Arabidopsis thaliana: one gene and its partners. The protein of the gene in region 1 interacts with the protein of each later gene in a pairwise test. Each region holds a gene or a part of one and is shown in the gene's direction. Other genes may lie near its edges.

Region 1 (7,668 bases):
GCTTTTCCTGATAAGGTTTAAATCTCTGTACTTGGGCCCAAATGACTACTTTCTCATTGACAGTCTCTATACTTTCAATACCCAAATAAGCTTTATCCATCATATCATGTTTTGGCTCAAATTGGCTCATATGTGAGAGATCTTATTAGAAAACAACTTGTCTAGTAATCTAGTATATTGATTAGAAAACATATAGAGAGAGATTGGCATGACATGCAGGCGAAGTAGTCTTTGCCTTGGATTCTTTTGCGTCTTTGCTAAATATATAATACTAATATTGAAAGATCGCATGTTTGATGCATGTTGACACGTGCGGTCATGCCCTTAGATACCTTGTGTCACCAATGTGTTGTGTATGCTCTCTCACCAGAAAGATCTATTCTTTCCTTTTTCCTTTTCGTTTCTTTTTTTTCATATTACTAAAAATAACATCATGTGTTAGGTTCTGGTCCAAGTTTGGTAGTAGCTAGCCTTATTTAGTATGTGGTTAATATAAACAACCAATAGTGAGCTGCTGTCACACACAAAAAAAAAAACGACCAATAGTGATATATAAATTTTAATTTAAAAATCTTGGCATATGCTTAATGAAGTGTTAGTAACATAATTTTTACGCCTACATTTTTTTTAAAAATATACATGTTTTCAATCTCGCCAATATCATATTTTGGCCAAAAAAGAAAAAACCTTACCAAACAACAAAGGAAAAGAAATTTTGGTATGGAGAGAATAAATAAAGCACGTGGGATCACGTGAGGGCTCGCGTGCCGGCGTGACTTGCCTTTTACTACAAAAAAAAACTCGTAACAAAGAAAAAATTGGGACCCCAAGTGGACGGAGCCTGACCCCTTGTGGTGGTAATAAAGACATAATATACGTTTCTTTCTCATACAACAAAACAAAATAAAAACTATACAATAAAATATTTAAAAATATTGGTCTGACAGATTTGTGTCAGAGAAACGTATTTGTCTTCTCTTGAACATGTGAACTCTCGCCCTCCTTTGCCTCTTCTTCTTATTCTCTGTCCTTTGCTCTATTTCTATATTTTCAGATTTGTTTGTACAAATAACTCGTTTCTCTTCTTAATTAATTAAAACAATTTTCCATCACAATTTCATAAATCAAAGTACGACATTAACTTTTATCGCCGACGTAAGAAAAGAATAAGGAAACTTGTGTTTTCTTACGAAAAATATTGATAGTTATATCATTGCCTCGTTAATACGATACTACTACTACGTACATCAACGATTCGACGGTGGTTCTTTTAACCTATTAATCTTATATGTCAGAAATAGTTTTGTAATTACGATGTATAGTTTTGTGACTATTCAAAATATAGTTGACTTATTATTTTGTTTGCTCGAATGGTTAAATCTGGTCAGTCATGTTCATGTAGATCAGTGCCAATGCATTGTAATGGGTTATCTCCTTACTCGTTGGAGGGTGTATAATTTCAACAATACTGATATTGAAACACGTAGTAATTTTTTAAAATAGAGCATGTAAAATACATATGCCATGAAAAGAACTGGACAATATATATCTTAGTTTGGTATGTAAGAATATTGATGTAATATAATTTTTTTTGTAGACTAACATAATACGGTTATTGAAATTTGAGAAATTTTATAAGAATAATATAGTTAAGATATTATACAGTCAAGAGAAGCTTTACATTAAATAACTTAATCTCTTATGAAATAAAAAAGAAAAAAAATCTATTTACTAAAATTATAAATAACAAAGTTTGATGTTTAATTTTCATCAGATAATATGAAACTTATTAAAATTATAGAAAGATAAACCGTGAAAAGGGAAATGTGATTAAGATTTTGTATTATGTGATTAAAATTTTGTTAAATGAATTGGAGTGTGAGAAAAATGTGAATAAAGATTTTATGAGGGTAAAAAGTGAAAAATAGAGGAAAAGAGAGGGGGTAAGAGTGAGAAAAAGAAGAAGTACTATGAGTAGTCAAATCAAAGATGAATCACAGCCCAAAGAGAAACAAACCCTCACCACCCACTTGGTTACTCACTTTTATGCTTTTTACTTCTGAGCTTTCTCTGACACAGCCCACCTGCTTCTCTTTTCTCATTATTACTTACTTCTCTCCTCTTTACTTCATTTTCTCTTCTTCTATCTTTTTTTTTACCTCAGTCAGAACCGAATGTAAAACCTAAATCAACCCAAAAAGAATGTAATTGTTGTATACAAAATTGAATAGAATACAAAATCTAACCGTTGATAAAAGATGAAAGAAATTATTGGACCAAAAGTTTGCCTACCTTAACCAAATTTGAACCAGAAAATTTTGGTTTCAGTCTATAGTAAAACTGTAAAAGATATAATAACTCATAAGTAGTCGTTTGTTCTATAATTAATACATGACTCCTAAGACTCTTGAGACATCGTTCTACCATTATTTTAAAGCTTCGGGGTTTGAGTTTAGCTAAACATTCTGACATACAATTCATGAATTCATTTTCTTTTAGATTTGTTAAAGAAAACATGAGATACATAGTGATTGAGAAGTGATAGTTAGATGGATGTCAAAAAAAAAAAAAAAAACAGAGAAGTGATAGTTAGATGAAATATTTTCCCACATCTTTGAACTAGCTAATAATGCAATACGTATAGGCGATGACGCCCATGAGACTTTTCCCTTGGATATGCTGAGACTCTGTGGAAGCCGTTCGCTTTAACATTTCCGCAATGACGCAATCCGAGGTCTTCCAACAACCAAAACTTCATACGATACTCTTCAAGCATCCGGGCCTCTCAAAAACCCTCAGGTGGATTAACCTTGCTCTAAGAGTTCTCATAAACAAGGATGCATTTGTCATGTTTACTCAAGACAACATGAACTCGTACCACGCCGTATAAAAGTTTTTGACAAAAATCTTGAATAGCTAACAATTATTTGGCAAAAAAACTTCCAAGAATCTCTGCAACTTTGCTAATAGAGAAATTACTTGAATACTTTTAATATTTATAATTCACTTAACTATCACTTAAAATATAAACATTTACAACCATTTTTTTTAATGTTTCTCAAGCCTGATGATTTTTTTTTTTTTTTGGTAGGAAAAGGGGGAAAATCCGCCAATTTTATTAAAAAGAAAATACGAAATTACATTCGGATAGTTCTTGAAAACGCAGGCCCATTTACATCCTCCAAAACAAAAGAAGCAATAGAATCCGGAACTGAATTAAAAACATACAAACCAAGAGGTAAAGAAAACGCATAGTTAGCTAACCCGTCCGCAAGACGATTGACCTCCCTATACACGTGAGAAATACGGACTAACCAGTCCCTTGATATGAAGCCATAACACAAACGTAGTAGGAAAGATAGAGGATGAGAATCCGGTATCCCTGTCTGTAAAAACCCAACCACGATCTTCGAATCCACTTCCAGCTCAAGGCGTGTTATTCCTTGCTCCCAGACTATGTGTAACCCATAGTAGAGTCCCCACAACTCTGCTAGTGGCGCTGAACAGATTTCGATATTCAAAGCAAAAACCCCAACCCAGTTCTCGTTCCCATCACGCACCGCACCTCCCGCTGCTGCTAACCCGGGATTCTCTCTCGAGGCTCCATCCATGTTCAACTAGCCTGATGAATTTATTAAACTCATGTTTCCATTTTTTTTCCCACCAGTTATGTTAGTTTGATTAATTTTTCAGTCAATTTTGGCATAACGCTTTAAAATAATTATATCAAAATAATATTTTCAGTTTTTCTGCAACAGATTCATTCCACCAAGAATTCAGCCGATTCTACCCGAATTAATATTACCATTTTCGGACTAGATCTATGAACGAAGGTACAAAATTAATCAGTTAAAAAAGAAAATAGAGTGGCAAGTACTACATCTAGTGCCGTATGATATGATAATATAGGAACCTAAACGAATTTTATACTAATTCAAATTTAAAAGTAGTTAGGTTTGTCACAAATGCAAATTACAAATTATATCGACGTAACGCTTACTCATTAAATAATCTAAATTACTTGGTTAAAAGACTAATTAAATATTCTTAACAAGTAGGCTTTTGTTTTCATTATAAAACAAATTAAAAAGCTATACTAATATAAAAATGGAGATTGGTATTTCCAAAGCAGCAAAGACAGAAAAACTGCAGGTTATTATCTCTCCATCTTCATCTTGCAGAGTGGTTCTTTCTGGGTTTTCTGACTTGCTTTTCATTTTTTTATTGATACAAATGTTAAACCAATTATTTTAAATAGTCTTTGAGATTAATGAAGAGAGATTTGTGAACACAATTAATAAAGAGTTATACTATAGTAGTAGTCTTTTTTACTGTATAGTATTTTCTCCCCGCATCTGTCTTGTCTCACTGTCTTTTTCTCGCAAGTCTCTCTATTAAAAACCTCTTTCCCTCTACTCTGTCCTTTCTCTCTCTGCAGAAGAAGCTCAGATACAGAAACTGACTACCAAGAACAAAGCTTTTTCCTTCGAGCAAAGAAAGTTCTTTTTTCTTTTCTTTTGCTCTTCGTAACCCAACCAACAAGACTTTCATAAGCTATTAAATCAGAACCCTGGAAGACAAAAAAGGGGAAAAACCATTATCCTTAAAGTAACCAACACTTCTCTCTCTCTTTCTTCAATGGATTTGCAACTGAAACAATGGAGAAGCCAGCAGCAGCAACAACATCAGACAGAGTCAGAAGAACAACCTTCTGCAGCTAAGATACCAAAACATGTCTTTGACCAGATTCATTCTCACACTGCAACTTCTACTGCTCTTCCTCTCTTTACCCCTGAGCCTACTTCTTCTAAACTCTCCTCTTTGTCTCCTGATTCTTCCTCCAGGTTCCCCAGTGAGTCTTTTCTTCCTCTTATCTTATCTTTCTTGATAAAGAATTAGACTTTTCATTCATATAGTTTGTGTTTAATTGATTTTGATTCCTTTTTGTAGAGATGGGGAGCTTCTTTAGCTGGGCACAGTGGCAAGAACTTGAACTACAAGCTCTGATCTACAGGTACATGTTGGCTGGTGCTGCTGTTCCTCAGGAGCTCCTTTTACCAATCAAGAAAAGCCTTCTCCATCTATCTCCTTCCTACTTTCTTCACCATCCTCTTCAACACCTACCTCATTACCAACCTGCTTGTGAGTCTCGAGAACAGTCTTCATCTATCTATTTTTTAAATATAAATGGGTTTTGTGCTACTGGTGTTGGAGTTGTGTTCCCAAGATCCAGACTTTCAATATTAGTATATTATCTCGTTTTGCCAATCTTGAAGATCTAAACATGTGTGAATGGGATTAAGTAGGATTAGAATCTTGTTATTGATCTGATATGTGATATGAATGTTGAAAACAGGGTATTTGGGAAGGGCAGCGATGGATCCTGAGCCAGGCAGATGCAGGAGAACGGATGGTAAGAAGTGGAGATGTTCAAGAGACGTCTTCGCTGGCCACAAGTATTGCGAGCGCCACATGCACCGTGGCCGCAACCGTTCAAGAAAGCCTGTGGAAACTCCAACCACCGTCAATGCAACTGCCACGTCCATGGCTTCATCAGTAGCAGCCGCAGCCACCACTACAACAGCAACAACAACATCTACGTTTGCTTTTGGTGGTGGTGGTGGTAGTGAGGAAGTGGTTGGTCAAGGAGGATCTTTCTTCTTCTCTGGCTCTTCTAACTCTTCATCTGAACTTCTCCACCTTAGTCAAAGGTAATAAAAAGAAACTGTTTTTTTTTCTCTTAGGTCTGTCTGTTTTAGCTGTTGAACTTTATGGTCAAAACATTAAACTTAAACACATTGACTTTTTTATTTCTTTAGTGTTGAGCCAATAAGATTCATGGTTGAGATTTTAGACAATTGTTTTGAATAATAATGAAATCGATTTAAAGCAATACTGATTCTTGATTTATTAGTATGAAGTATGAACTAATGATATACACAACTTGGTTTGTATGTTCATAGCGATGTTGTGAAGAGAGGGGTAATGTTGGAAATTGAGAGACACATCCTTATCATTTTAGGGTTGGTTGGTTTGTTTGTTTGTTGAATTATGAGTTTGATTTCATTGTGAAAATATCTTTCTTTCTTTTTTCTTATTGTGTTGAGAGATAATGATAACATTGGATTTGATAGAATCTATAATTTGAAGCTAGGTGTGAGACTTTTCAAACAGAGAAAATAGAAAGAGAGAGAAATGGTAGGACCTTAGTGAAAGCTGACCCATATATGTCTCATATCTTGCAGAAAAGTTAAAGCTTTTAGATTCTTCTGCACCCACCTCCCCTATCCACACACAACACATGATATACAAAACACTCACTTTATAATTCTATTTCTATTTACTGCTTAATCAATTCTTATAAAACCCACATTAAAAGGTACTTTTAAAGCCTATAAACTAATATAAAGGCTACTACTGTCTGCAACTTTGTTGTTGAAGCCTAAATGTGGTTTCTCTTTTGACAAATTATTGCTTTTGTGCTTTGTTTTCACCAATGAGATGTGGATTCTGTTAACAGTTGTTCGGAGATGAAGCAAGAAAGCAACAACATGAACAACAAGAGGCCATACGAGTCCCACATCGGATTCAGTAACAACAGATCAGATGGAGGACACATCCTGAGGCCCTTCTTTGACGATTGGCCTCGTTCTTCGCTCCAAGAAGCTGACAATAGTTCAAGCCCCATGAGCTCAGCCACTTGTCTCTCCATCTCCATGCCCGGGAACTCTTCCTCAGACGTCTCTCTGAAGCTGTCCACAGGCAACGAAGAGGGAGCCCGGAGCAACAACAATGGGAGAGATCAGCAAAACATGAGCTGGTGGAGCGGTGGAGGTTCCAACCACCATCATCACAACATGGGCGGACCATTGGCCGAAGCCCTGAGATCTTCTTCCTCATCTTCCCCAACCAGTGTTCTCCATCAGCTTGGTGTCTCGACACAAGCCTTTCATTGACCAGTGTAAAACCAACACAACAATGCGGTTTTTACTGTGTTTTTGGTTTTTATCCAAATTTCCTGTATAAAGAGGGGAGGCTTTTGTTGTCCTCTTCCCTTTTTCTTTTAAGATTTCCCTTGTATCTGTAGCCTTTCTCTGCAGATTTTATATCCTCAAAGATTTGTTTTTGGAAATTCATGTCTAAATAGGATCTACGATGAAGCTTAGGCAAAATGTAGAAGTGCAACGACTTTTTATTTCATTTTTAAGTTATAATGATGCTGCAAGCGAAAACTAAAGGAGAAGAAGATCAACGAGTAAATTTTTGTAGTACAAAGAAGCTTACAGTAGGTAAACTCGGACAACTGTCTTTGCTCCTAAACATCTTCGGGTAACAGGCCTATGGGGACAAGAGAAGAACGTTCATCATCATCATCATCATCTACTGCAGCGTAAACTACAGCGGTTCTGCACGGTGCATACACCATGAAGGAGCAAGGCCTATCGTCGTGCCTTCCATCCTGTATAGCAAATTATTAGTTCCTTTGTAACGACTTGGAGAAAAGAGTTTATTCTTTTCGTTCTCGCTTAGTTAAAGGGCTTACAGAGGTGAAAAACTCCGCGGAGTCATCTAGCCGGTTGAAGCCTCCAAATAAAGAGTTATCAGAGTCCAAAACGATTTTGTACTTTCCGGGAACAGAGCAACCGATACGGTAGTCAGAGTAACTGT
Region 2 (7,403 bases), on another chromosome or scaffold:
ATATGAAGATCTTTGTTGATACAGGTATCAACCGCTATGCCTTTTTGTTTCCCCAAAACATGCATATGTCTTGCGCTACTCATCCTTTTTCACTCTTTGGATAACCTTATTAGTTTTGTATACCTGGAAATGATATTTTGTAATCAAAGTTGTCTATCTCCTTGGAATCTTTTTCACTTCTCTCTAGTCCTCAACATAAGCTATTAAATGGTTTCAGATGCTGATGTAAGGCTTGCTCGCAGAATTAGGCGTGACACAGTTGAGAGGGGTAGGGATGTCAATTCTGTGCTTGAACAGGTCAGTCCTCTTTTCGATTTATGCTGTAGGATTTGTAAGCATAGGTTCATCTAACCTAGTTAGGTAGCTTTATTTTGTGTGTGTATATGAGACATGAGTAAATACATGGAAATTCTGCTCTAGGGAACATCTCATTGTGTCTCTTCTCTGGTTTCTTCTTCCTTTTCTGCTTCCTACTGTTGTTTTTTTACTAGATAACTCTATATGTTCTTATTCCATCCTTTGAGATGCTCCTCTGTAAAACATCTCTTTTATCTTCTGAGCTTCCCATGTGCCTAATTTGTTTTCTGAGGATGTTATGTTCGTTTACAGTATGCAAAGTTTGTGAAGCCGGCATTTGATGACTTCGTGCTCCCTTCAAAGAAATATGCTGACGTGATCATTCCTCGAGGAGGTGATAATCACGTTGCAGTCGATTTGATTACGCAACATATCCACACAAAACTTGGGCAGCATGATCTCTGCAAAATCTACCCAAATGTTTATGTTATCCAGTCAACATTTCAGGTATTTTCTCACTCTTGCTCTCTTTGATACTTGATTTAGATGGTAAGTGTTATCGATGGTCTCACTATAGGATCATGATTGCAGATAAGAGGCATGCATACACTTATTCGGGAAAAGGACATATCAAAGCATGACTTTGTGTTTTATTCAGATAGACTCATTCGTCTGGTATATCTCTCCCTTATGTCTTCTCTTTCAACGTCACTCACTTTTCAGGCTTTCTTATTTTAACTAATATCAGTTCAATTTCAGGTCGTGGAGCATGGTCTTGGTCATTTGCCATTCACTGAGAAACAAGTAGTTACTCCAACAGGTATGAGAAGAGAATGCATGAGCTGTAACAATACTGTATACACTTTTTTATATAACTTGGTCATCAGATGTCCGTCTCCTTCACGTCAATCTAGTTAGAGTTAGCTTATTCAACTCATTTAAACTTATCTTTTCCACACCAGGAGCTGTATATACCGGTGTTGATTTCTGCAAGAAACTTTGTGGGGTCTCAATTATTAGAAGGTGAGCCTTTGAAAGGTATTGTATTTGGTTAAGTTTGATATGATAAGATGCTTATTCTTCCAACTGTTTTACATCATGCAAGGCATAAATTTACTTGTTTGCGATTAAATTATCTCTCCTACGTGGTTTCTGTTTTGTATGTTTTTCCTAGTGGTGAAAGCATGGAAAATGCATTACGCGCTTGCTGCAAAGGAATTAAAATAGGGAAGATTCTCATCCACCGTGATGGCGATAATGGAAAACAGGTCTTCCTATTAATATTTTGCTCTGTTTTTAAAAGTATCAAGTATAATCTCTTTTTATAAACACGAATTTTGAAGTTTCTCTTGTCGTGATAATCAGCTTATTTATGAGAAGCTTCCTCACGACATATCTGAACGCCATGTCCTGCTTCTAGATCCTGTCTTAGCCACAGGTACTCTGTCTCTCTACGCTGTATATTTCGATTTTGGTCCTTTTTGATGGATTTTTGGTTCTCGAAATTCATATCTCGTGATATTGCTTCTTCTTGAAGGTAACTCGGCTAATCAAGCCATTGAACTACTCATACAGAAAGGTGTTCCTGAAGCTCACATTATATTCCTCAACCTTATATCGGTGAGTGTAAAAAGCTATATATCGATCTTTCGCTCTTTTGTGAATGTAGAAGCTAAAGATCTCATTATGTATCTGCTTCTCTATCTCTTTGCTTCTCTCTTTCCCTCGTCATGACCTTGCTTTCTGACAGGCGCCGGAGGGAATCCACTGTGTCTGCAAACGTTTTCCAGCATTGAAAATTGTGACGTCTGAAATAGACCAATGTCTGAACCAAGAATTCAGAGTTATACCGGGCTTAGGCGAGTTTGGCGATCGTTACTTCGGCACCGACGAGGAAGACCAGTAGCCACCACTCAACACTGTGACTGGTTTCAAAGGAAAAGCCTAAATTTATGACTAGAGCGACAGTAGAGGCACTTGCATGTCTTTGTAGTTTGTGCTAAAGAATCTTTATCTTATTGTTTATGAAGCTCCTCTTGCTTACTTGAATTATTTTTGAAAAACTACGTTAATTTTCTCATTAAAAAAATGATCGGGACAATGCTAGTTTTCTAAACCGGTGGAAAAAGACATAACCAATCCTTTTATACATGATTTTGACAATCGTACGAAAATTCCAGTTCTCTCTAATTTTAATTTCTTTATTTACATGTTGATTAATATATATTTACCATTTTTCTTAAGGATCTTAGGGTTTAGGGATTATGACCTAAACCTAATGATAGAATTTAACCTTAGTTGGACCCACGAATGATGGGCCTAAGTTAAGCCCAACTATAAATTAATGTAGCGTAACCGCCACACGCTCATCTATAAATACACCACTCCTATGCAAGACCTATAGTTTTATTTCAGTCGACTCTTGACCTTCAATTTCCTCCGTCTCTAAATTTCCTTTTCTTTTGGCTCTCTCTGCGATCGAGTTCGAAACCGTTCCCTAATCGAAGATCTAGATTCAACATACGTTTTATCTCTCAGGTTTGCTTCTTCTTCGACTACGTTTTCTCCGCGATTATGATGATGCCTTCTTCTTCCTGCTTTCACTTTGGGTTGCGTTTCTTCATCTCCTCGATTCGCGATCCTCCTATTCGCATCGATACCCAGAGATCTAGGGTTTCCACCGATATGGATATGGATAAATCTTAGGGTTTCACCGATAAGGATTATGGATTCGAGTTTCTCTTCTATGTACATTGTCGGAGCTACATCTTCTCTTCTTGTTGTTAGTGTTAGGGTTTTGAATAGGTTTTAGGTGATGAATTATAGGTTTAGAGTTCTGAATTAGAGATTTATTTGGTTTTTTCTGTGGACGTGGTGCTCTATGATACCTGGATTGAATTTGGGGTTACAGACAGAAGAATGTGTTGCTTTTGATTCTCTAGCGATTGGGGAATTCAGAAACTCCTTGCTTCTGGACTTGTTACCCTTGTGAAAATTTATGTATGGGTCATCAGTCATCATGGATGAAGCAAACAGTTATCGACTCTGTGGTTCAGTCTTCTAAAGTTGGTGTTTTCTCAATGTTTAGTATGGATTACAAGGCGCCAAGGAAATACTCACACGGAAGGAATTTTGGAGTTGCGAGACAGCAAGATTTTGCAGCAGATATAGTTACGAGAAGACCTTATGCCCCGTATGACAATGGTATGAAGAAAGGTCCTAATAAGTTGTCAAGGAATCTGGTTTGGACGTCAAAAGAGTACAAATCACCAGAGGGAAACAGGCCAAGGCAGAATGCAGCCAATGGGTCAGCGAAACCACAAGTTATAGGCACAGGACATCGTGTATCAAACCAGCCGAGGAAGAATGCTGTGTATGGGCCAAGGAGCTCTTCTCTTTCAGACACCAGAGGTTGTGGGCCGAGACTCAATGGCAGTCCCAAAAAGAGTGTGTGTAATTTTTGGAAAGATGGAAACTGCAAAAAGGGCGAGAAATGCCAGTTCTTACACTCTTGGTCTTGTTTTCCTGGACTGGCCATGGTAGCTGCTCTTGAAGGACACAAGAATGATATTAAGGGAATCGCCCTTCCTCAGGGTTCAGATAAACTCTTTTCAGTCAGTGGTGATGGTACATTGCTAATTTGGGACTGCAATTCTGGTCAGTGTGTTCGATCCATCAACCTCCAGGCAGAAGCAGGGTCTCTAATTAGTGAAGGACCATGGGTTTTCCTTGGCTTGCCAAACGCTGTAAAGGTTAGTTTAAGGCGTCTCTTAACACAAATATTCTTCTGTTATCTAAATTCTGTTCGTTAAACTCAGTTGATTCTGGTGTTAAAGTTTTTGTTTATCAATTTTGCAGGCTTTTAACGTTCAAAACAGTAAAGATGTGCATCTTGAAGGGGTGGTTGGTCAGGTGCATGCAATGACTGCTGCAAACGGAATGCTTTTTGCTGGAACAAGTGTAAGCATTTTTAACTTAACTCTCTATCTTCTCTATACATGTGTTAGGTTCTCTGCTTCTTTGTTGGATCTATACTAATAAGTTTCTTTTGTCTTTTTTGGAATTGCAGTCTGGTAGTATATTAGTCTGGAAAGCTACAGACTCGGAGTCTGATCCATTCAAATACTTGACATCTCTCGAGGGACATCATAGTGGTGAAGTCACTTGTTTTGTTGTTGGAGGTGAAGTGCTATACTCTGGTTCTGTCGATAAAACAATAAAGGTAAGATATGGCTGCTACTAAATACAAAATGATTTCATCTTTAATCTTATTTTGAATGCATTCTAATAACTTCTGTTTGCTGTGGTTCTAGGTGTGGGATCTCAACACCTTGCAATGTAGAATGACCCTGAAGCAACATATCGGCACTGTCACTTCACTCTTATGTTGGGACAAGTGTCTGATATCGTCTTCCTTGGATGGGACCATAAAACTTTGGGCTTGTTCTGAAAATGAAAGTTTGAAAGTTGTTCAAACTCGCAAACAAGAACTGAGTGTTCATACTCTCTGTGGAATGCACGATGCAGAGGCCAAACCGATCATGTTTTGCTCTTACCAAAATGGAGCAGTTGGCATTTTCGACCTACCATCTTTTGAAGAAAGAGGAAAGATGTTCTCTACGCAGACGATCTGCACACTTACAATTGGTCCTGGAGGATTGTTATTCAGTGGAGACAAGAGTGGGAACTTGCGTGTATGGAGCTTAGCTTCTGGCACCAAAGTTTAGTCGTTTTAACAATTTTCGACTATTGATTTTCATTTAATTTGTACATATACATTGGTGGTTGATTCTAAATCCTTGCATTAATGTAATAACTTTTAATGTTGCCAAGATAAAAGAAAGTAATATTTTCATATCCGTTCTCTCATAGAAAGATGTTTATTTAACACAATTCCTTAAAAGATTTGTGAACTCCATGGAAGCTTCAAAGTTTTGTTCTGTATTCAAATTTCTTATTCTTCTTCTTTTGAAACTGAAAACGTGGGGAAAAAAAAGGAGATTTACAAGTAGAAAACACAAATCTACCAAATGGTATAATTTGTTTTTGGTCTTGAAGGAAGAATGCAAGCAAAACTGGACAGAATATATATCAACTAAGAATGTGGAAAGACACACGAATCACACAAACCAAATAATAGTGAACGCTCTTTGCATTTTGGCTTATTCATCTAGCTTTTCCACTTTTGTGTTTATCCAAGTGAGGAAATGCTTGTAGAATGTTATAAGCCCTGAGATCTTGCCTTGTTAAGATCCCTATCACAGGTGACATCTGCAACAACACAAGACACACGTTTAGTAGTGTTCTTGAATCTTGAATCAAGAGAGTAAAAAAGCAAACTTACCCCTGAAGCTTGAATCTTGGGAACCACCAGTAAATGTCTGAGACCCACTGACCGGAACAGAACCAAAGCTTTAGCCACTGACATACTTTGCACCACTGTGTAAGGTGTAGTGTTGGTCAAAGGATGAAGATCAACATACAATTGCATCTCTGAGCTTGTGATTGCAACATCATCGAAGTTATCTTCTCTCTCAGCTAATTCAACCGGTGTGAACTTTTCCCTAACTTCCCACTCTTCTGTTCTCCTTTTCTCATTCAAGAACCATCTCTTTTTCAGAACTTTCACAAGGTGAGCTCTTAGGATCAGACCATGGAGCTCTGTGCCAGTGTTTTGATCTGCTCCATCCAAGACTGGGAATGCGTTATGCGTTGTGTTCCTTAGTACATCGACTATATTTGCCACTTTTTCTACTCCGTTAAGTGTTACAACCGGAGGCTTAGCGTCGTTAAGCTCACCTACAGTGAGATTCCTCATCCACGGCTCTGGATTTGCTTCCAAGAAAGGTAAGCCCTTAAGATGGAGAATGATCTCGTAGATACTTAGATTGAAGCTGTCACCTACTGTTTTAGCTATCAGAAGCACAAACATTGTAATGGGCAACAAAAGAAGGTTGTTGGTGAGTTCCAGAAATATAACACAGAGTGAAACAGTCATTCTCATTGAACCAGCCATGAGTGAAGCTGCACCAAGAACCGCGTAAAGCCCTTGATCTATGTTTGTGTAAGACCCCATTGCTGTGCCTAGCATCCTACCGTATGCAGAACCCATGAGGATAATCGGTAGGAAGAGACCCGACGGTGTCGCTATACCGAATGTTATAAGACCCAAAATGCAGTAGAGGCCAAAGAATATCCAGAGAGAAACCATGCCAAACTCATTAGGAGTGTTTGAAGAGAAAATGTTTCTGACTGCATCATCATTGGTTGTGAGAAGCAGAGTGGATAGATCGTTGTAATAACCATTTGGACAGTTGAATTGCTTGAAATTTCCTGATCTTCCGTTTGTTGGACATATCTCGTCTATAGAAGGATCACAAGGCTTGCATTCCGCTAAGAAAGGAAGACCGAACAAGCAAACTGATGTGAATAGAGATACCCCAAGACTTAGAAGCACCTTATGAATCTTTCCCTTCCTACACCAAAATTTACCAAACAATGTTAAGTAAAAAGAAATCTTTAAGACTCTTGAACGTTCATAAACACTTACTGGTTGATGAGATTGTAAAGCCGGAGAACTTTATGCAGAAGATGATTGTACAAGCTTCCAAGAATGCCACCAAAGACTCCAATCAATGTGACTGGGATTATATCTGCTGCGTGGTACCTAACCTCTACATGACTCACATCGAACATAATGAGTCCTCCTGAGCCGAAAAGTCCGCATTTCCCGGAGTTACAAATCTCAATGAACGCTCTTAATACAACCACCACAACGGCTGTACTGAAGAATGTTCTCCACAAGAGAGCGCTTCTCCACCACGTAGCGACTTCCTCAAGAGCGAAAAGTACTCCTCCTACTGGTGACCTGAAAGCAGCACATACTCCAGAGGCAGATCCACATGTAATAAGATCTCTTCGATCTCTATCGTTGTTGAAGTAACGAAGCCATCTCCATTTGATTCTGTGATTATCTGGACCACCTTGACCAAGCAAAGAAGCTATGCAACTTCCAATATGAACCAATGGCCCTTCTTTACCAAGATCAAGTCCAGCTGCAACCGCTCCAATACTTCCAACAATCTAATCGGAAAAAAACCGCAAAA
Region 3 (7,999 bases), on another chromosome or scaffold:
TGAATAGAAAAACCAAATATTCAATTCGGTTCAATTCAGAAACATTATGAAGTTCATAACCAGATCGAACCAAAATTTATTTTATGTTTTAATTCACACCAAAGTTAATCATCCACTTAAGTTATCAAAAATTTAAAACATAAAATAACTTGGAAGATCTAGATTTTAAGTTGCAAACACACAAAAAAATTGAATCTCTCCCTGGCATTATTATCAAAGTCTTCCTCCTAACCATGAATCTCTCCTTACCTTTAGAATTCTGCTAAACTTCAACTCGCAATTCTGCTAAACAACAAAACATCACATTATGAATTAACTCTGAAGTTACTAGTCTCTTTGTAGAGTTGATGAAGCTAGTCTCATTTCAAAGGTGTAGGGACTCATGAAAAAACACCCGAATCTTCTTCTTGGTTTCAGCGTCTACCTTTCAGCTGGGACTAAGCTAACCATCCCTCCCGAGGCTGAGCAACATACTGCGCCATCTGATAATAACAAACGAAAACGTGCTAAGTGTGATGATCCATCGATGATCAAGATTACGTCTGAAAATAACAAAAGAACACGTGCAACGTGTGATGATCCATGGATGATCACGATAACGTCTGATAATAACAAAAGAAAACGTGCTAAGTACTGTGATGATCCAGATTATGATCCGGATTATGTGAAGAAGCTTAAGGTATATAAAGTGCTCAAATTATAAACTAATCCAAAGAAAATACCATTTTGGTCATTCTTGTTTTGATAAGTACTTGTTGTGAGTCTCCATCGAAGAAGCGAAAGAGGAAAGGAAAGAATGTGTCTCCACCTAAGAAAAAGGGGAAACTTAGCAAGCGCACAATACATTGTAATAAATGTGGTCAAGCAGGGCACAATTCTCGTTCATGTGGTAAGAGAGCTCTTCAGGTTAGTCTCTTTTCATCTTGAGTTCAGTAATGTTACACTGTTGCTGTGGTGGTGTCTTCTTGCTGGTAAATGGTTGTGTTTTCAGGCTTGTGTTAGTAGTGGATTGCTAAAGAAAGCAACTCAATCTCAGCGAAATACTCAACAAGTAGAAGATTAGAAGCAAGTGTGTGGATTGTTTCCTTTGGCTTCTTAGTAGGGTTTTTGTTGCCTTCTTAATAATTTTTGTGGCTCATAGTTTAGTGGTGTTTTGCACTAAAGATAGGTTAAGGTTTTGGTGATAAGTATCTGTTAGAAGCAGAACTCTCGCGTCGATCTATGATACTTATAAGTTCCAATGTTGAATTAACACATTGTCTTACTAGTTTTTGGATTCAATTTACAACATTCTTAAAGCTTTGATTCAAATGATATCAAGCAACCTGAGTGATCATTGTTATATCTCCATCTCCTCATGCAAGCGCTTATCCAGAGTTAGCTTAGTCGTAACGTAAAATTTCATTCGCATGTAGCATCAATGTTGGTTTCTAATCAACAAGTTAGCTCACGCTTGATCACCCAAACGCAAAGTAGTTGTGTCCATAGTTGTATATGTTGTGTATCGAATAAGATGGTTTTATACATCACCACGGTCTATTATGATCATCATTGGAATCTATACACAGTTCAATACTAACAATCAACAGAAAAATATTTCTTATAACTTTTGCATTGATCAAGGAACTCAGTTCTAGAGCACACGAGATGTAAAAATCTACCGGAGAAGTCACTAAAAAGTAGTTCAACATTTCAGAATAGTTTACAGTTCCAGGCGATAAATAAACCAAGCCCTGGTAAAAAGTGGACAAGACAAGACCTCACTGTTCTTGTCAATAACCAGGGTGAAATTAGTCCAAATTTCAATCCCTGTAAGGCTGTAACTCAAGAAATCTCTAATCTGCTTTTACAAGGACAAGCAGATTCTAAGTAAAGACAACAACATGCGAAAAGCAAACATATCCGCTTTTCGCTGGTCGATCAGATCTATAGACGCCTTTCGGGTTAGTAGCAACGAACCCTTTCTCGCTATTTCACTGACCGACTCTTTTCACTAGCCTCATGTGCCAAAGAGTTGCAACCTTCGTCTTTCCAGCTCAAGCTGCGATAAAAGCAAAATTGCATTACTATCACACCCAAGGCTTGATCAACGTTACACGATTGAATGCAAATGACTAATATAACACCAGAGGCTTAATTGGCATTACACAATGAACTGAAAGTGACGCTTACCACTTTCTTGACTCGGTTGTTGGCAGCATCAGTTCCTCCAAAGACACAATCTGAAAGATACGGGCTACGAACGCGTACCTCTTTCATCACCAGAATGTCTGAGTTTTCCCATTGCACAGGAAGCCTAAAAGGAAAATAATTCACATGTGATTCATTCGAAAGAGAAAAAGCAAATTCAAACAAAGAAAGTTTAAGGATTTATGTAGTCTAAAACTATGTATCTAGACAGCTTCTTAACTGTATCAGTATCACAAAGAAGACTAAAGATACTTGACACTAGAGCCCACAACATATGTAATCTACAACAACCACAAACATAGAAACTTTACATATATATAGTTGCAAACTAGCATCACCGGAAACCAAGAGCAAAACAACACTAAATCATGTCCAGATCCTAACAATTTATCTTTGGGAATAACACATTAGACGCACAAAACAAAATCCTCCAACCCAAGCAATTGTTTACAAAGAACTAATAGTTCAACTAAACAACATTAGATTACGATCTCGTCCCACCTCTCTACCGTATACTCTAAGCTGTGTTTCCTTCTTAGAGATTAGCTTATTTTTCGATCCGAAAACGTATAAAAAGAGAAGATCCTTACGTCTTAGACAACGCGTCGAAGATGCTCTGAGCCTCAGCGGTAACACCAACTCCCATTCTTTCAGCATCTGCTTCCGCTTGCCTGTGCTCAATACGTTTTCCCAAGTAAGCTCAAAACAAGCAAATAGCAATAAAAATTGCATTTTGAAAGGATTCAACAACAAAATATCTTATCACCTGATAGCAAGTGCCTCTTTAGCTCGGAGACCATTAAGATCAACAGAAAAGTTGTCTGAATCAAGTGGATCTTCAGTTTTGCCTAAATACGAAAGCCCTGTAATAAAACTCGCATTCACCATCCGAGTGTTCTTCAAATGCCCAGGTCTAGGTTTTGTACCCTCTTGTAATAACCAATAACTCGTCAAGGATAACACAATTCAGGTCAAGACATTGAAAATACCTAAATCTCAAATTTTGATGAAACAAACAATTAAAGAAATTAAGGATATCAAAAAAGACGAAGTTGGGGATGGGGTCGTAAGCCATGACGATCCCTCTGAACTCATCTCCGGTGATCACCTTCACTGAATAAATATTCCCCACCGCGAATTTCTCTCCTTCTCCTCCGATTGCGCTGGCCACCGATGCTCCTGCTGGATCCATGGCGGCCGTCCTCGCTCCTCCTCCGTCTTCTGAAATCGCCGAACTTCGGAAAAATTAAAACTATATATATCGCAATATGGGCCTTAAGCCCAAATAGCTACTGGCTTATAACAGTTTCCTCATTTTTATATCAGTATATGGGCCATAAGGGCCCAATAACTACTGAGCTTCATGATTAGTTCAAAACGCGGCGTTTTAAAGATTAGTGTATGACTGTTACTTTATCCATTTTATTTCGTTATAAACAGATTAGCGAACACTGAACCACAATCAAATCGGAGAAAATCGTGTGTGTGTGTGTCAATGGCGGCTTTAAGCATCTCACTAGCTTTCTCTGTTGATTCTCTCAAACCAACCCAATCAACGAAGTTTGGCTTCTCGTCTTCTTCACATAGATATCCATTACTCTACTCGTGTAAATCTCACCGCTCCAATCTCAGATTCGCTTTCCCTCCTTCTTCAGTTTCGACAGCTACAGAAACTGGAGAAGAAAACTCTAAATCGACCGGGAATTACGCGTTTCTAGAGGAATCGTTTCGTACCGGGAGGTTTTTGAGTAACGATGAGTTAGAGAAGCTTAAAACTCTTGAAGGATTTGCGTATTTTCAAGAGCTTGAATCTGGATCGATGTGGGTTCGAGTTATGAGACATGAAGAGATGGATTCAACGGTGCATCTATTGGCTGAGTCATTTGGTGAATCGATGTTATTACCTTCTGGTTATCAGTCTGTGTTACGGTTTTTGATTAAGCAGTATTTGATTGAGAGAAGAGAAGTGTTGCCACACGCAGTTACTTTAGTTGGTTTCTTTAGGAAAAAAGTTGATGAGTTTAGTGATGATGGAGAGGAGGAGGCTGTGATGGCTGGAACTGTTGAGGTTTGTTTGGAGAAACGAGGCGCTAATGCTTCTCCTCCTTCTCCAACTCCTCCTAAGGAATCACCTTATATCTGTAACATGACTGTCAAAGAGGATCTTAGAAGGAGAGGAATTGGGTGGCATTTGTTGAAGGCGAGTGAGGAACTGATATCTCAGATTAGTCCATCAAAAGATGTATACTTGCATTGTAGGATGGTTGATGAGGCTCCTTTCAATATGTACAAGAAGGCAGGATACGAGGTTGTTAAGACAGATACAGTTTTGGTCCTTCTGATGTTACAGCGGCGTAAGCATTTGATGCGGAAGAAACTTCTTCCACTATGCACCAATCCTATAGTAGAAATGGTGGGGTCTGATAATGAGCTGACCTCCTCTGCAAATGTGTAAACATGGGTACAGTTTTTCCATCAGTGTACCAATTAGCTTTTAGTCTTCTTCTCAACCTTTTCTGAATTTATAACAAACATTGTGATTGGCTTTATTATGTAGGAGCTAAATGTGACATGACCAAGGGTCGGGTTGATAATCCCGTTTGCTTCGACCTATTGTTTATATGATCTTAGTAGAGGTACTCCACACACACTCTTATCTTTGTTATCTGCTTCCTGTATTGGCAGCGATTGTATTTCTTGTTCATAGACATGTGGTTAATTCTTTAGGCATTAGGCGAAAGAAGGAAAGAAAAAACAAGACTACACCCCTGAATTTATGTACTCATTTCTCTTAAAGCAAAACATTCATAGCAGCAAATACAACATACTATACGGATACATCTAGTGCTTGATTTTCTTAGTGAAATTATAGTATATATATCCAAATAATATCGCTTGATCAAAGTTTCCTAGCTGGAAGTTGAATTGAAATTATCCGGTAATTCATAATTAGTATTGTTTGTTTATATTTATCAAGTGTTTTTTTATCAGTGACCTCTCATTTTAGGAAAAATGACAGTAATCCATTTTACTTGTTTCGAAGAATTCAGTGTCTAGAGCCTTCTGAATGTAGGAATCGTCCCACCCAAACCACCCTTCGAGTTTGTGTAGATAATTAGTTGCAGTTCCTTAACACAATCCATCACTGAAGGTCGCTCTTTACTCTCTATACGGATGCACCGTGATGCTAGATCAGCAAACATGGTTATAGCTTCCATGCTGTATGAATTCCGAGGCAGCTCGACATCTATAACCTTACGCAATTTCTTTCTATCATTCAGTATATTCCTAACCTGAAACGTAGAGATAATTGATCAGTTTATTCCTATGTTAAGTTTCCTGATCTTTGAACTTTTTGTGTTTGTGAATCATAGAACCTAAAAGGTCCATTTTACCTGTAGCACCAGGTTCTGTTCATTTGGGCCCTGAGTTAAGTCAACTGCTCTGCGTCCAGTAAGTAGTTCTAGCAGCACAACCCCAAATGCATAAATGTCGCTTTGTAGAGTAAGTTTACCTGTCTGCCACAGAAGAAGGGAACAAAAATTATGCTAAAAATTGTCCTCCGTTGCCTATTGGCTCTGATATGTGAGTGTGATTAAAGTTCCTTTTCCAGGCTATTTTATGTCATTACTAGCAAGTTTTAATTTTTCTTAAGTAGTGTCTAGTTTACCCTATCGGAAGAGAATCATGTGTGAAATATAAGTAAGAATCTTTACCGATGTATATTCTGGGTCGAAATAGCCGAATGTTCCTAGAACTCTTGCTGTGACACAAGTATCCTTTCCTTCTGGCATCAACTTTGCTAGTCCAAAGTCGGATATCTGCAAGGATTACACTCACATCTTAGTTTTAGTCTATGCTTGGTATTAGTGCTGCATAAACCCTCCATTTCTATTAACTGTATAAGAACCTTTGCATTATAATTGGAGTCTAGTAGAACGTTGGTGGATTTGAAGTCTCTGTGAACAATTGGAATCCCAACAGAAGAACTTGAATGGAGATACGCGAGTCCTTTTGCTGCTCCTAGTGCAATTCTGAGCCTTATTGGCCAGCTTATTTTTGCTTCTTTGATTCCTGTGATAAAGACGCGGTTTAGTCGCCAATTGGTTTTAGTGGATTGGGCTCTTATTTTGTTGACTTACCATTCAAATGATCTTGCAGGTTTCCATTTTGCATATATTCATATACTAGGAACCGGTGTTTCCCATCTGCACAATAGCCGATCAAAGAGACCAGATTTGGGTGGTCGAGTCTGCTCAAGATATCCACCTCCACACGAAATTCTCTTTCTCCGTCAGCCTTTTTAAACGTAGGTAAATCCATCTTCTTGATTGCAACAACCTTCAAATAACAAGGGATTAAGATATGTATCCTACTCTAATAGCTCCTCTTCGATAGAAAAGTTTTTGTAACATTACAAAGCCTGTAAATCACATAAATGAAGCTATATAGTTCCTACCTCTCCTGTTTTTAAAGTGCCTTGGTAAACTCGGCCAAAGCCTCCTTTACCGAGGAGATTCTCATCACTGAAAGAACTTGTGGCCTCCTCCATCTCCTTGAGGGTATAAACTGATGACCCGAATCTTCGCTTCCTTGGCTGAGAAGCCTGATCTTCGATTTGCCAGCATTCTGCTGTTCTGTAGACCCCTGAGAAGAAGGTTAGTTTCAAACAGATGGTGATTCAGTTTTACCTAAACCCTTTATATTCAGTAGTAGTAATGTCGAAAAACAAAAACAGTAACATACTTTTATGCCATCTGGCGAAGATGATGGAGAAAAGGAACGTACATGGATCCGTATCATATGATTTGCTTCTCCTTCTCTTGTTCCAAGCCGAAACAAGTGGAAAATGCATAGCTTTAGTTTGGATTTGGTTTTTTCTTATCCTTTGTAGACCATTACAAAGCCGATAGAAGAAGCTTCTGGTCTCGTCCTTAAGACAGAAGGGTATGTGTCTTTCTAGTCGTGAAGATGTTCTTTGTAGTTAGTTGCTTCCAAAGAAACAGAAGATTGTTGTGGTTGAAGATGATAAATATAGAGTGCAATAAAGTTAATTGATTTTGAGGGTTAGGTTTCTGAAATACTCAACAGCAGTATTTCAACTACCGAAAGTTCAAGAGAGAGAGAAAGAGACGGTAGAGCTGAAGAATACGTAGATTACATGTACGTGAAGCAAAAGAAATTGAGAGCCATCTTGAGAAAGTAAAGACTTGATGTTTCCTTAACTTTTCTAAGCTCAAATTCTCGGTTTGGTTCTCTTGTCTGAATCTATCTCCTTCTAACCAGTTTGTGTACGTACGTATCTCTGTCGATCAAATAGAGATGGGAAGCTGCTTTCAGAGTGTTTCCTTACCCTTTTCGTCTCAACTTTTTTCTCTAGACTTCTATATTACTATTTACTAATGTTGTTTTCATAGTTCGTTGAGAGAGAGATTATAAAAGTTAAACTTTATAAGTGGAGAAAACCTATAATTTTCTTAAAGCAATCTTAGTTTTTTTTAATAAGATTGACAAATCCTAGGATACTGTAACTTTAACGTATCCAATTGTATATTAAGGATTTGGGTTCGGATGAACTTTTGCTTCGAATAGAAATGATGACTCATTCTTAGAACATTTTTATTTTACGATTGAAGAGTGGTTGTCGTTTTATATCAATGGAAACCAACATGCTGTTTTCTCGCACAATGGTGAAATCAAAGTACCTAACGATGAAGAAATTGTTTTGGCTTTATTGCATTGCACCTAACCATGCCAGTGCCACCAAGAAGATTATTGTAGAAAATAAAGAGGAAACATTCAGCTCTTT

What was found.
Region 2: the proteins of GRF3 (region 1) and AT5G40880 interact in a two-hybrid assay, tested with the Arabidopsis thaliana proteins (one large-scale study listed by BioGRID).
Region 3: the proteins of GRF3 (region 1) and AT1G24040 interact in a two-hybrid assay, tested with the Arabidopsis thaliana proteins (one large-scale study listed by BioGRID).

The regions. Positions count from the first base shown.
Region 1 is NC_003071.7:15,269,588-15,277,255, reverse strand, and holds GRF3 (growth-regulating factor 3), read left to right. Parts: upstream 1-4,140; 5' UTR 4,141-4,638; coding exon 4,639-4,852; intron 4,853-4,950; coding exon 4,951-5,142; intron 5,143-5,152; exon of another isoform or gene 5,153-5,356; coding exon 5,357-5,711; intron 5,712-6,520; coding exon 6,521-6,956; 3' UTR 6,957-7,168; downstream 7,169-7,668. Other genes in the region: SBE2.1 (starch branching enzyme 2.1), read right to left, coding at 7,316-7,459, 7,544-7,668. UniProt on the Arabidopsis thaliana protein: Transcription activator that plays a role in the regulation of cell expansion in leaf and cotyledons tissues.
Region 2 is NC_003076.8:16,376,182-16,383,584, forward strand, and holds AT5G40880 (WD-40 repeat family protein / zfwd3 protein (ZFWD3)), read left to right. Parts: upstream 1-2,711; 5' UTR 2,712-3,299; coding exon 3,300-4,049; intron 4,050-4,155; coding exon 4,156-4,257; intron 4,258-4,366; coding exon 4,367-4,519; intron 4,520-4,610; coding exon 4,611-5,024; 3' UTR 5,025-5,171; downstream 5,172-7,403. Other genes in the region: UK/UPRT1 (uridine kinase/uracil phosphoribosyltransferase 1), read left to right, coding at 1-24, 218-297, 610-804, 889-972, 1,057-1,117, 1,260-1,320, 1,472-1,565, 1,663-1,735 and 2 more; CLC-A (chloride channel A), read right to left, coding at 5,464-5,568, 5,642-6,773, 6,848-7,380.
Region 3 is NC_003070.9:8,502,440-8,510,438, reverse strand, and holds AT1G24040 (Acyl-CoA N-acyltransferases (NAT) superfamily protein), read left to right. Parts: upstream 1-3,643; 5' UTR 3,644-3,685; coding exon 3,686-4,645; 3' UTR 4,646-4,651; exon of another isoform or gene 4,652-4,747; 3' UTR 4,748-4,826; intron 4,827-4,978; exon of another isoform or gene 4,979-5,243; coding exon of another isoform or gene 5,244-5,483; intron 5,484-5,567; coding exon of another isoform or gene 5,568-5,708; intron 5,709-5,861; coding exon of another isoform or gene 5,862-6,011; intron 6,012-6,100; coding exon of another isoform or gene 6,101-6,264; intron 6,265-6,332; coding exon of another isoform or gene 6,333-6,531; 3' UTR 6,532-6,649; downstream 6,650-7,999. Other genes in the region: AT1G24060 (uncharacterized protein), read left to right, coding at 383-703; AT1G24050 (RNA-processing, Lsm domain-containing protein), read right to left, coding at 2,000-2,041, 2,173-2,296, 2,781-2,861, 2,957-3,122, 3,229-3,382; AT1G24030 (Protein kinase superfamily protein), read right to left, coding at 5,244-5,483, 5,586-5,708, 5,907-6,011, 6,101-6,264, 6,333-6,531, 6,650-6,837, 6,937-7,045. UniProt on the Arabidopsis thaliana protein: Protein acetyltransferase with dual specificity triggering both N-alpha-acetylation (NTA), with a large spectrum of modified N-termini, including methionine, alanine, serine and to a lower extent threonine and valine as substrates, and epsilon-lysine acetylation (KA).